Danio rerio: one gene and its partners. The main gene of each other region encodes a partner of the protein of the gene in region 2 in a complex. Links are inferred from orthologs where the notes say so. Each region holds a gene or a part of one and is shown on either strand. Other genes may lie near its edges.

Region 1 (4,388 bases), on a different chromosome or scaffold from region 2:
TGACCTTCTTGCTGTGAGGCGACAGCACTACCTACTGCTCCACTGTGTCACCTGCATTAGTTTATACGATTCTAATCAATATTTGCTATTTATTTTTGAATATTATGAATTTAATTAGCTATAGCGCATTTAATGATACATAGTACAGTCCATGAATGTCAATGATATTTGTTTTTTGGCCCTTCATAAAAATTTGGCCACCCCTGGTCTTATGCTAACTAATGATAAACTGAAGTCTCATGAAGCAAACGACTGGAGGTTGAGTAACAATTTTGTTTGCATATCAATGGCTGCTGGCTTCCAATATTCTTCTTTTTTTTTTTGACATTTATTTAAAGATTTGCAATGACAGAACAGTGGTATAGGATTACAGATATGTACACAAGTTATAAGTAGGACCAGACAGAATCGGCAGACATTTTTTGCTATTTCCGTGGAATGATTTTGGGAGTATCATAACTAAAAACTTAATATGACATAAAAATAATACCTTTTTAACTTTTATTGCATGTTTACAATGCAAATCCAATTAACTCTACTTTTTTTTTTGGTAAACAAAGCAAGTCTCTCATATAATATCTCTACTAAAAGAGGAAATATTACTTCACAAACTGTATTTTAAATAAATCGTAACATTAACAAGTCAATAATATTACTGTAATTAATATGAAAAGTGAATAAATATAATTTTACACACATTTACACAAAATAAAAATAAATAAATATATCCAATGATAGGCTAAAAATTTGCGTTAATTTATGGATTTCTTTATGGACAGATTCTGTGTGGATATAAGTCAGTTTTTCTAAGGGTAAGAAAATGGTTCGATGATCTATCCCAGGGATGGCCAACCCTGTTCCTGGAGAGCCACCTTCCTGCAGATTTCAGTAACCCATATCAAACACACCTGAACCAATTAATTAGGACCTGAACACCACGTGATAATTACAGGCAGGTGTGTTTGATATGGTTTGCAACTGAAATCTGCAGTAAGGTGGCTCTCCAGGAACAGGGTTGGCCACCCCTGATCTATCCACATAGTGACCGAATGAATGTTAGGAGATAACAACATAAGAATACATTTTTCTTGCTAGATACATACAATGGTGTAACAAAGATTCTAGTCCATGACTGGTGTGTAGCAGTTTTACAATTCAGAAGATAAATAGCTGGAGATAGACAAAAGGGCTACCAATAATCTTTTGAACTAATTTGTGCATTTGTTTCCAGTATGTCTTAACCAATATTATTTTAAATAACTTATTTATAAATTTCATATAAATAAATAAAAAAGGAAACGTATTCACTTGAGGGTCAGTAAATTGATGACAGAATGGGTGAACTATCCCTTTAAGGACTACAAGGCTCAGTCACCATTCACTTCCATTGCCTTTTATTTCCTGTGAATGGAGTCATTTCATTTTTTCTTCTTACAAACACACACAGACACTAACTTATACTGTTTTTAAACTACAGCATAACGAATTTTTAGACTCATCATTACTGTTGCACTCACAACATACGCACGCGCACAGTCAGGTGCTTCCTGGTGCTTCATTGCAGGATCACAGTCAGTCAGGGGAACCGAAACGGTCAGTGAACGCGTCCAGGAAGCGCCACCGGCAGGCGACAGACCGAGAAATGCGGCAGTATCCGCGACTCTCCGTCAGGTAGCCGTGAAAACCAGAAGCGCGTGGCTCCGGTGTCGCGACGGTGTTTTAGTTTCCCGCCGTCGGCGCGAGCAGCTGCTGACGCGATGCTTTAGCCATGGACAGCAGGATAAAGTAAGTCGACACTTGTTTACCTTTCGCATTCCTCTGCTTTGTGTTATCAGTCTCCGTTATAAAAGTCTTTCATTCGGTTGAAATAAACACAGCGGCTGCGGCGTATCCGTTAGTTAGCCAATTTGGCTAATGAGAAGAGATGACAGGTCCAGCTGACCGGTTAGCTGTTTACCTCAGACATGCTAACTAGCCTAGCCGCATTCCTCTACAGCCATTTAAACTTGACAGCTGAATATATTTCATTTTTGATGAAGTTGGACGCCTTGATTTAGTGTCTATAGCTTTTAAGTGTACTGTATAGTATGTGTTATGAATTCACAGCAGCAAACTGACTGCATAGCTCAGTGTCTAATGGCATGTCGAGATTTTAAAGAGATAGTTCACACTAAAATAAAAGCATTTTAACGTGTAACTTGTGTTCAGTCTAAGAAGAAACGTTGACAAATGTTCAGTGTTATGGTTATTTTTGTATATTTTAATCAAGTTGGTTTGGAAGGAGAGTGAATGCTTGTCAAATAAATTGTTTTAAAGTTAGTAACGTTAAGTTCAAACTATGTTTTCCTTTTCCAGTGAGAATCCTGCAAGGACTTTTGATTTGGCTCTTCAAGTTGCGTGTCCATCATCTGAAAATGAAGGTGAGCCCCCATTTCTCATAGAGGTAAAGTTGGTTTTATATTTGGATATTCAGACATAATTCTTAATAAAATAATTTTAGAAAAGTATTCTTTGAAAAATTGTAAATAGGGAAAACATATTTGCAGCAAATGACCATCAAAGTACAACATTGTTCACAGTGAATTGGATGGTGTAAATGTTGTTTAGATGTCATGCTTGCATGCTAATTCCGATCGAATTATCAAAGTAACATGGTAAACAATACAGAGACTGCTAAATGAATGAATGTGCGAATAAAAAACCAACTTTACCTCTTTCCATTGCTCAATTTGGTTAAGTTTTGCATATGCAAGTGTCTGTTCAAGTGTCTGACTTTTTTCATCAAAACACACTAGCAATTATGTGAGGGTTGAGCCTCTCTTTTAAAGCACTAATTCCCTTGCTGTCAGACTTTAAAATGACATTAAAGACAATGTTTACGTCGGCATATGTAACACTACTCATAAGTTATAAGTGATAATATGAGACGTTTTTATTGTGCAAAGTACATGACTGACATTGTAATCAAAAGTAACTTTATAGAATTGATGTAAAATATAGATCAGGGTGGCTGATGTTTGATATTATGACAAATTGCATTATGTAATCTAGAATTGCTGCTTAAATAAAACTACACGGTTTAATACACAAATTTAAGTGTGTGTCGTGATAGCTATCTAACTTTGTACCATTTGAAATCCTGTATTGTGAAACCTAGACAGCTTTTATATATGGCTCTTATTTTTGGCTGATATGCTGAGCTGTTTTCCGTGCTTGAAATGGATGAGTAAATGATGCGTTTTGTGTCTGGGGGATTCACGGGAAGGAAATTATTGCTGTTAGATTCGCAGGGTGGTCAGATTCACTCCTGATGGGCTGACTTGAGTACATTTTCATTTCAGTTCAACCCTCACTTGGCTTGCATTTGCTCTCAGAAACCTGCAGATGCATTTTGGTTGACTTTTTTTTTTTTTTGGTTGATATGCAGTGATATCGATCTTGGTTTGTGAGCACGTTTGTGTGTTTTGAGCTCTGCAAGGATGAATAGAAACCACACAGCTTTAACGGACCAAGTAATGACTGCTGTGCAGTGAAATATGGGAGCTTGTTTTTGTCATGGAATAAAATAAATGAAAAGTTAATTGCCACTATTTATCTCAGAGTTCTGGCCTATTTTTTTCACTTTCAAGTTTATGTCTTTCAAATTCTGCAGTTTTTTTTATTAAGGAATTCAGACGTTTTTTCTAAGAATTTGATTTTTAGCAGTTTATGCCATACAATTCTGAAACTGAGCATAGTTACATGATAAGAGTATACTCAGAACAAGATTTAAAAAAAATAAAAAAGTTTTCTGAACAAAATGAATCACTTCTGGATCTGTGTAAATGACTAAAAATACAGTATTATGCATGCCAGGCCAGTGGGTGGCGATGTCACTTAATTAAGAAATGCTTTATGCCTGTGAACATTTAGTCTTGTGTTCTGATGTTGTTGTTTTGGCTGTCATATACTTGTTCATGTCTACTGAAAGCATATTAAACATAAATGTGTGACCTCATCCTAAAACATGACGTCATTTTTTTTGTAGTTTAGAAATTATTATAAAACAATTTTTTTCCATATACCTATTTTTATACTCATTTTGGATTTGCGCACAGTTGATGTAAACGGCAAGATTCGCAGATTCGCGTAAGTTTTGAAAATGCACATATAAACCATATGCACATAATCGAGTAGGACAAACATTTTATTTGATAAAAGATGTGCACTACGATGGAAACACTTATTGAACAAATTCCTGTATGCGCATGAAAAAAAAGTAATGTGATTTTGATGTGAGAGACCATGTGATGATAAAGATGCATGTAAGTGGACAAATCAGCAAGCTAAGCACATCGTAAAACATCTGAAATGTTGGTTTGGTCATTCTAAAAATCCCTAACCATTTC
Region 2 (2,368 bases):
ATTATTAGAAGAGGACTGATCAAACAAAGCAATGATTGGATAAGATGGAAGATTGTCCCCTCAGGGAACCCCATAGGCCTTCATGGCCGATCTTAATTGCAAATATAAAATGAGAGAAGGTTCAGTTTTTTACCGCTCACTTAGTTCTTGAAAACTTAATATGCCATTAGAACCAAAAATATCTTTTAGCAAATAATTGCCTTTCTGCATCCATTTCCTTGAAAGAAATGGTGCACCACCGGATCGAAATTTATTTTATTTTATATACAAATGCATTACATCACATGTCATTAGAATACATTAATGTCTATTTTTGTAGTGTCTCTTGTAAAATAGTAAATTTGAAAAGTCATAGAAAACAACAAAAGCCAAATTAGTATTAAAATTAACTTTCTTTCAATCTACCAAATACACCCCAGGGTACGGGTCTGTACAAGAATTTTCAGAATTATGGAGAGCTAAAATACCGCAAATGCCCTCTGTAAAAACATAATAAAGGAAACAGGAATTCTTGTGATGGAAATGCAAAATATTTCATATTAAATATAAAGATGCCTCATTTGGACATTTTTTAATCAAATTTTATTGCTAATTTGTTATTTGCATACATTATTGATAGTCATTTTAATCCATCATTAAAAATCTTGATAACAGTGGAACACATCAGACAGCTTCAAATAGCGTGTTTGCTGGACCAGGCTTTTTATTGCCAGTGTAAATCCATGCCAATCAAATCACCTTTCCTTAAAAAAATACACGCGCACACAGACAAAACACTGATAAACAAACAACATGTAAACAAATGCTGATATTCGGCACATAATAGCAAATTATTTTAAATCCTCCTGGGTTCATCTAATCGCAGTGTTAACATAAAAAGTCACATTTCTCAACTGAAAACTTGCAAAGGTGATCCATTTGTCCATATTTCCTCCAACACCTCTGCTCTAACAGCATTTCTTCCCCTTCTTCCTCCTCTCTCTGTCCCTGTGGGAATTGATATGGACAGTGTCCTTTTCTCTCTCCCGCTCTCTTTCTGCTCGACTCTGGCTCTGTTTCTTGGCCCGAAGGACCATGTGGGTAAAAGCCATGAACATCTGAAAATCACAAACATTATGAAGTACTTTAATGCAAGTGGACAAAAGAAACATGTATATTCCGAAAAGCCTAAATACTTTATACGTAGTAGAGCTGAGCTGATAAGCGGTATTATATCTAATAATCACAATAAAATTTATGTCAGTAACATATTAAAAAAAAAAAAATTTTATTCACTTGACTTTAAACTAAAAGTGCTCCTTTTCATGCTTTTTGAATTTATCATTCGTCTATTTAATGTTTAATATTGCATTTGTGAGATTTAAAAATCTTTTGAATATTAAAGTAATAAATTCAATTATTGTCCCTAATAAGAAACTACAGATTCTGACAAGCCTGAAACGAACTGTCAGTAACAAATTTGCATGATTTCAGCCTGTAGACTTGATTTGTAGCTTGCAAGACCAGAGAACTGGTAGCTGAGTCCTACAAGTTTGGAGTCTGACTTGTGTTACTGACATGTTAGAAGAGCAAAATCATTTTTCAAAAGTAAAAGCATTCACACGAAAACTGACAAGGTAAAACCAACTGCTGAAAAAGCTGAAAGTTGAACATGGTAATGACGTTATGTTTTGACACTTGCTGTAAGAGTCACCAAAGCTTTTTTTTGCTAGCTAAAAACAGCAGCACTGTTCCAAAAACGCTCAGCTGAGAGCACTTTCCCAACTGTCAGAAAATAAAAATAATTTGTGAAAAAATTCCAGAATGCTCTTGCTACGCCTATGGCAAAAATGTGACCCTTCCACTGACAACAACAGAACAAAATGCTCAGCTCAAGAAAAAAAAAATGCTTTGTGGACCTGCGCCCTAAATGGTATACCGATCACAACCGCAACATTTGACCAATCAAACCAGGATAGCCTCTTCAAAAGGAGTTTATAAGAGGTCAGATCCTTGAATTAATCATTTCAGAAACTTTGAAAGAAAAAGGTGATGCTGCAATGAATATTATAAAAGGATATTGAAAAGTTTTTTTTTAACTTTGGACTAACTGTAGAAGAAACCTTAAAATAGCATAGTAGGAGCACTTTTAGTGTTGCAAAAATTAAATGAATTAGAGCTTTTATGGATAAAATGTAAACACAGGACTTCAATAAAATCTAAAAAGTTGAAGTATTTTTGAGAAAAATGAATGAATTTACAAATAAAACCAAACCTCTTCTACATTGATGTTCTCTTTAGCACTAGTTTCAAACAACCTCACGCCAACTGACTCTCCAAAGCGCATAGCATCCTGGGTGTCCACAAGTTTTTTTGAAGGATCATCATT
Region 3 (2,444 bases), on a different chromosome or scaffold from region 2:
TGCGTTATGTAGACTTAAAAACAGATGCGTCTGTTATTCAGTGATGTACTATTCAGCTTCATGTTGTGAGAACGAGATGTTCACAAATGACCACCGGGGTTACGCACGGCCTCTAAAGAGCACATGCACACACTGTTGGTCGCAACACATTGAATTGGTTAACATCTAGATTACATAAAATCATACAGTATTTAATAAAGACAAGGCATATGTGCCCGTGGTGTCATCTAACTTCATTTGGTTTTTAGTTCTTTTTAAAAGGCTATTGACATTTATGATTACAAGCTAAATTGCAAAACCTGATGGCTCGTTGCAAACGATTTCACTACTCGGTAACTAGATCTACACTTTCTATTCACTGGTTGGCTCATTGCTGTTCACTGAAACAAACAGGGTGCTTTCACAACAGCAAAGTGTGGTGTTTGTGTGTAAGTAGTGGTGTGTTGGTGTTTACATACAGATGCGAGCACAAAATGAATCTGTCAGACTCATCTCTTGTGCAGCAGCTTCTATATTCCAAAAACTGGCACCCTTCGCTTTATTCCCCAATGCATCCCACTGCAGTTTGTATTGGGGCCCTTGAGTTTCAACGCTCCTGACTGTCTTCAATCAGGGTGACGTATATGATGGGAACAAGGCCCTGGCTATCGCCCAGAGCACACATCAGCCAATCAGAGTCTGCCCTGCTGAGCACCTGCAGCACGTCACCTTTGTTGAAACTGAGCTGCCCTGGCTCTGTGGCAATATGATGGCATAACGCCTTCACTTCCCTGGAAGAGATGGAAAGAAGAGGGAAATATAGACAGCAAAGGGAAAGAAATTGAGAGAATTAGTTATGTATGGTAGCACTTGACATTTAACACTAATTAAATTACACAATTACAGAGATTTGCAAGGCAGCGCTAGACTAATATTAATCAACCTCCTACAGTTTGTTAGGATTTAGCTTCTGAACCGCCTTGAAAGCACTGGTTTACTTCTGAAAGAGTAAATCTAGTCGTATGTATTGTGTAATGACATTACCGTGGGGCTAGTGTCTTTGTTTGGGGACTCTGTGTTTGTGCTTGTTCAGTTGGGCCAAGGTTGGATTCTTGGCTTTGAGATGTAAAAGATTGTTGCTCCGCTCTTTTCCGAACTCCAACAGACTGAGCCACCAGATCCAACACAGAATGATCGATACTCAACCAACCTGAAGGCAATCTAAGGGGAACACAAGAGTGGAAAAGTTAGCTACATATTCATAATAAAAAGGCCTTTCCAAAAGGGTCAATGTGTAAAATCTACTCATTCTAAAATATCTAACATTTGGCTAGAAAAACGAATGAATATACAAACTACTAATGTAAACTAATTAAGTATCTTATGCAGGGGTGTCCAAACTTGGTCATGGAGGGCCAAAGTGCTGCATAATTTAGCTCCAACTTCCGTTAACATGCCTCCCTGGAAGTTTCTAGTATACCAAGAAAGAGCTTGATTAGCTGGTTTAGGTGTATTTAATTGGGGTTGAAACTAAAATATGCAGGACACCGGCCCTCCAGGACTGAGTGTGGACACCCCGGATCTAATGTGATATCTATAAAAACAGCCCAGAGGAACAATACTGATGGAACAGTAGCATCATTGCTTGTTGGTGTTCACACCAATATTGTTATATTTATTTTTATTGGTATAAGAAGCTATAGCTGATGAAAAGCTGATTATTCTCCATTGAAAAGGGATGAGTTACCTTTGTTTCCTGACTGATTTCTGTTCAATCTTTTCTTTCTTGCTTGCATTTCCAGCTCCAAATAGTCGTCCCCAGCGGAGCACTTGAGCCGTTCCATCCTCCTCTGCTTCTGGCTGGGCCTGAAGCCCTTCATTCGGATCCTGGCAATCTGGCTGCTTCTCCTTACTCTTTTTCAGCTCAGTGAGCACTGACTCCGGTGGACTTCCCATCCAAGATGGCTTCGCTTTTGTGGCTTTGGTGGGTTCTGACAAAGCTGATTGGTTTAGAACCCCACGGCCAATGCTATTAATATTGCTACTACTGGTCCGACCGTGTTCCACCTGTTCATCCATCTGCTGAATGGCCTCAGCTCCTTCAACAACACCTTCTCTAGGAGGTGGATGGCTTTGACGGTGATTCTCAACCCCTCCTTTCCTCCTCTTCTCCCACTTGACAAATTTCGACCCCTCGGCAGAGTTGTCAATGTAAACCTGTGAGCTTTGCATCAACTGATACCACCAGCCAGCTTGTCGGTTTCTCTGTTTGGTTGCATCTCCATCTTTTTCTCTCTTTTTGTCCTTCTCATTGTCTTCTCCAACTCCCTTCATTCTGGCAGCACAGCACCCTCCACCTTGCATCTGTCCTGTGTCACTCTTTCGCAAGCACTCTTTACCAACTCCATCCTCCTTATTCCGAAACTCACGTTCTGCTCCCACACTCCTCTGCCATTCTTGTTTCA

What was found.
Region 1: the proteins of si:dkey-16l2.16 (region 2) and dennd1b are in contact, whole or in part, in a crystal structure (PDB 3TW8), measured with the Homo sapiens proteins. The link is inferred for Danio rerio from reciprocal best matches to the Homo sapiens genes RAB35 and DENND1B. Residues at the interface, in NP_006852.1 of Homo sapiens: Lys10, Leu12, Ser17, Ser36, Tyr37, Ile38, Thr39, Thr40, Ile41, Gly42, Val43, Asp44, Phe45, Gln60, Trp62, Thr64, Ala65, Gly66, Arg69, Phe70, Arg71, Thr72, Ile73, Thr74, Ser75, Thr76, Tyr77, Arg79, Gly80, Thr81; in NP_001182144.1 of Homo sapiens: Met1, Arg4, Glu43, Ser47, Phe51, Val72, Leu73, Thr74, Asp75, Ile76, Glu77, Ser78, His211, Glu212, Arg213, Arg214, Gln242, His243, Ile244, Ile246, Leu249, His252, Leu253, Asp255, Tyr256, Cys258, Ala259, Pro260, Met261, Pro262.
Region 3: the proteins of si:dkey-16l2.16 (region 2) and rusc2 are in contact, whole or in part, in a crystal structure (PDB 6IF2), measured with the Homo sapiens proteins. The link is inferred for Danio rerio from reciprocal best matches to the Homo sapiens genes RAB35 and RUSC2. Residues at the interface, in NP_006852.1 of Homo sapiens: Asp4, Tyr5, Leu8, Phe9, Lys10, Ser22, Leu26, Asp30, Ile38, Thr40, Val43, Asp44, Phe45, Lys46, Ile47, Lys58, Gln60, Trp62, Thr76, Arg79, Gly80, His82; in NP_001129471.2 of Homo sapiens: Val997, Lys998, Asn1001, Asp1005, Val1008, Thr1013, Arg1015, Lys1020, Glu1119, Glu1155, Leu1158, Leu1159, Gln1161, Pro1162, Leu1165, Leu1166.

The regions. Positions count from the first base shown.
Region 1 is NC_133197.1:23,103,390-23,107,777, forward strand, and holds the start of dennd1b (DENN domain-containing protein 1B), read left to right. Parts: upstream 1-1,574; 5' UTR 1,575-1,768; coding exon 1,769-1,785; intron 1,786-2,355; coding exon 2,356-2,420; intron 2,421-4,388. UniProt on the Homo sapiens protein: Guanine nucleotide exchange factor (GEF) for RAB35 that acts as a regulator of T-cell receptor (TCR) internalization in TH2 cells. Acts by promoting the exchange of GDP to GTP, converting inactive GDP-bound RAB35 into its active GTP-bound form.
Region 2 is NC_133178.1:31,480,755-31,483,122, reverse strand, and holds the end of si:dkey-16l2.16 (ras-related protein Rab-35), read right to left. Parts: coding exon 2,255-2,368; intron 1,098-2,254; coding exon 948-1,097; 3' UTR 566-947; downstream 1-565. UniProt on the Homo sapiens protein: The small GTPases Rab are key regulators of intracellular membrane trafficking, from the formation of transport vesicles to their fusion with membranes.
Region 3 is NC_133180.1:20,051,959-20,054,402, reverse strand, and holds part of rusc2 (AP-4 complex accessory subunit RUSC2), read right to left. Parts: coding exon 1,727-2,444; intron 1,201-1,726; coding exon 1,024-1,200; intron 771-1,023; coding exon 587-770; 3' UTR 1-586. UniProt on the Homo sapiens protein: Associates with the adapter-like complex 4 (AP-4) and may therefore play a role in vesicular trafficking of proteins at the trans-Golgi network.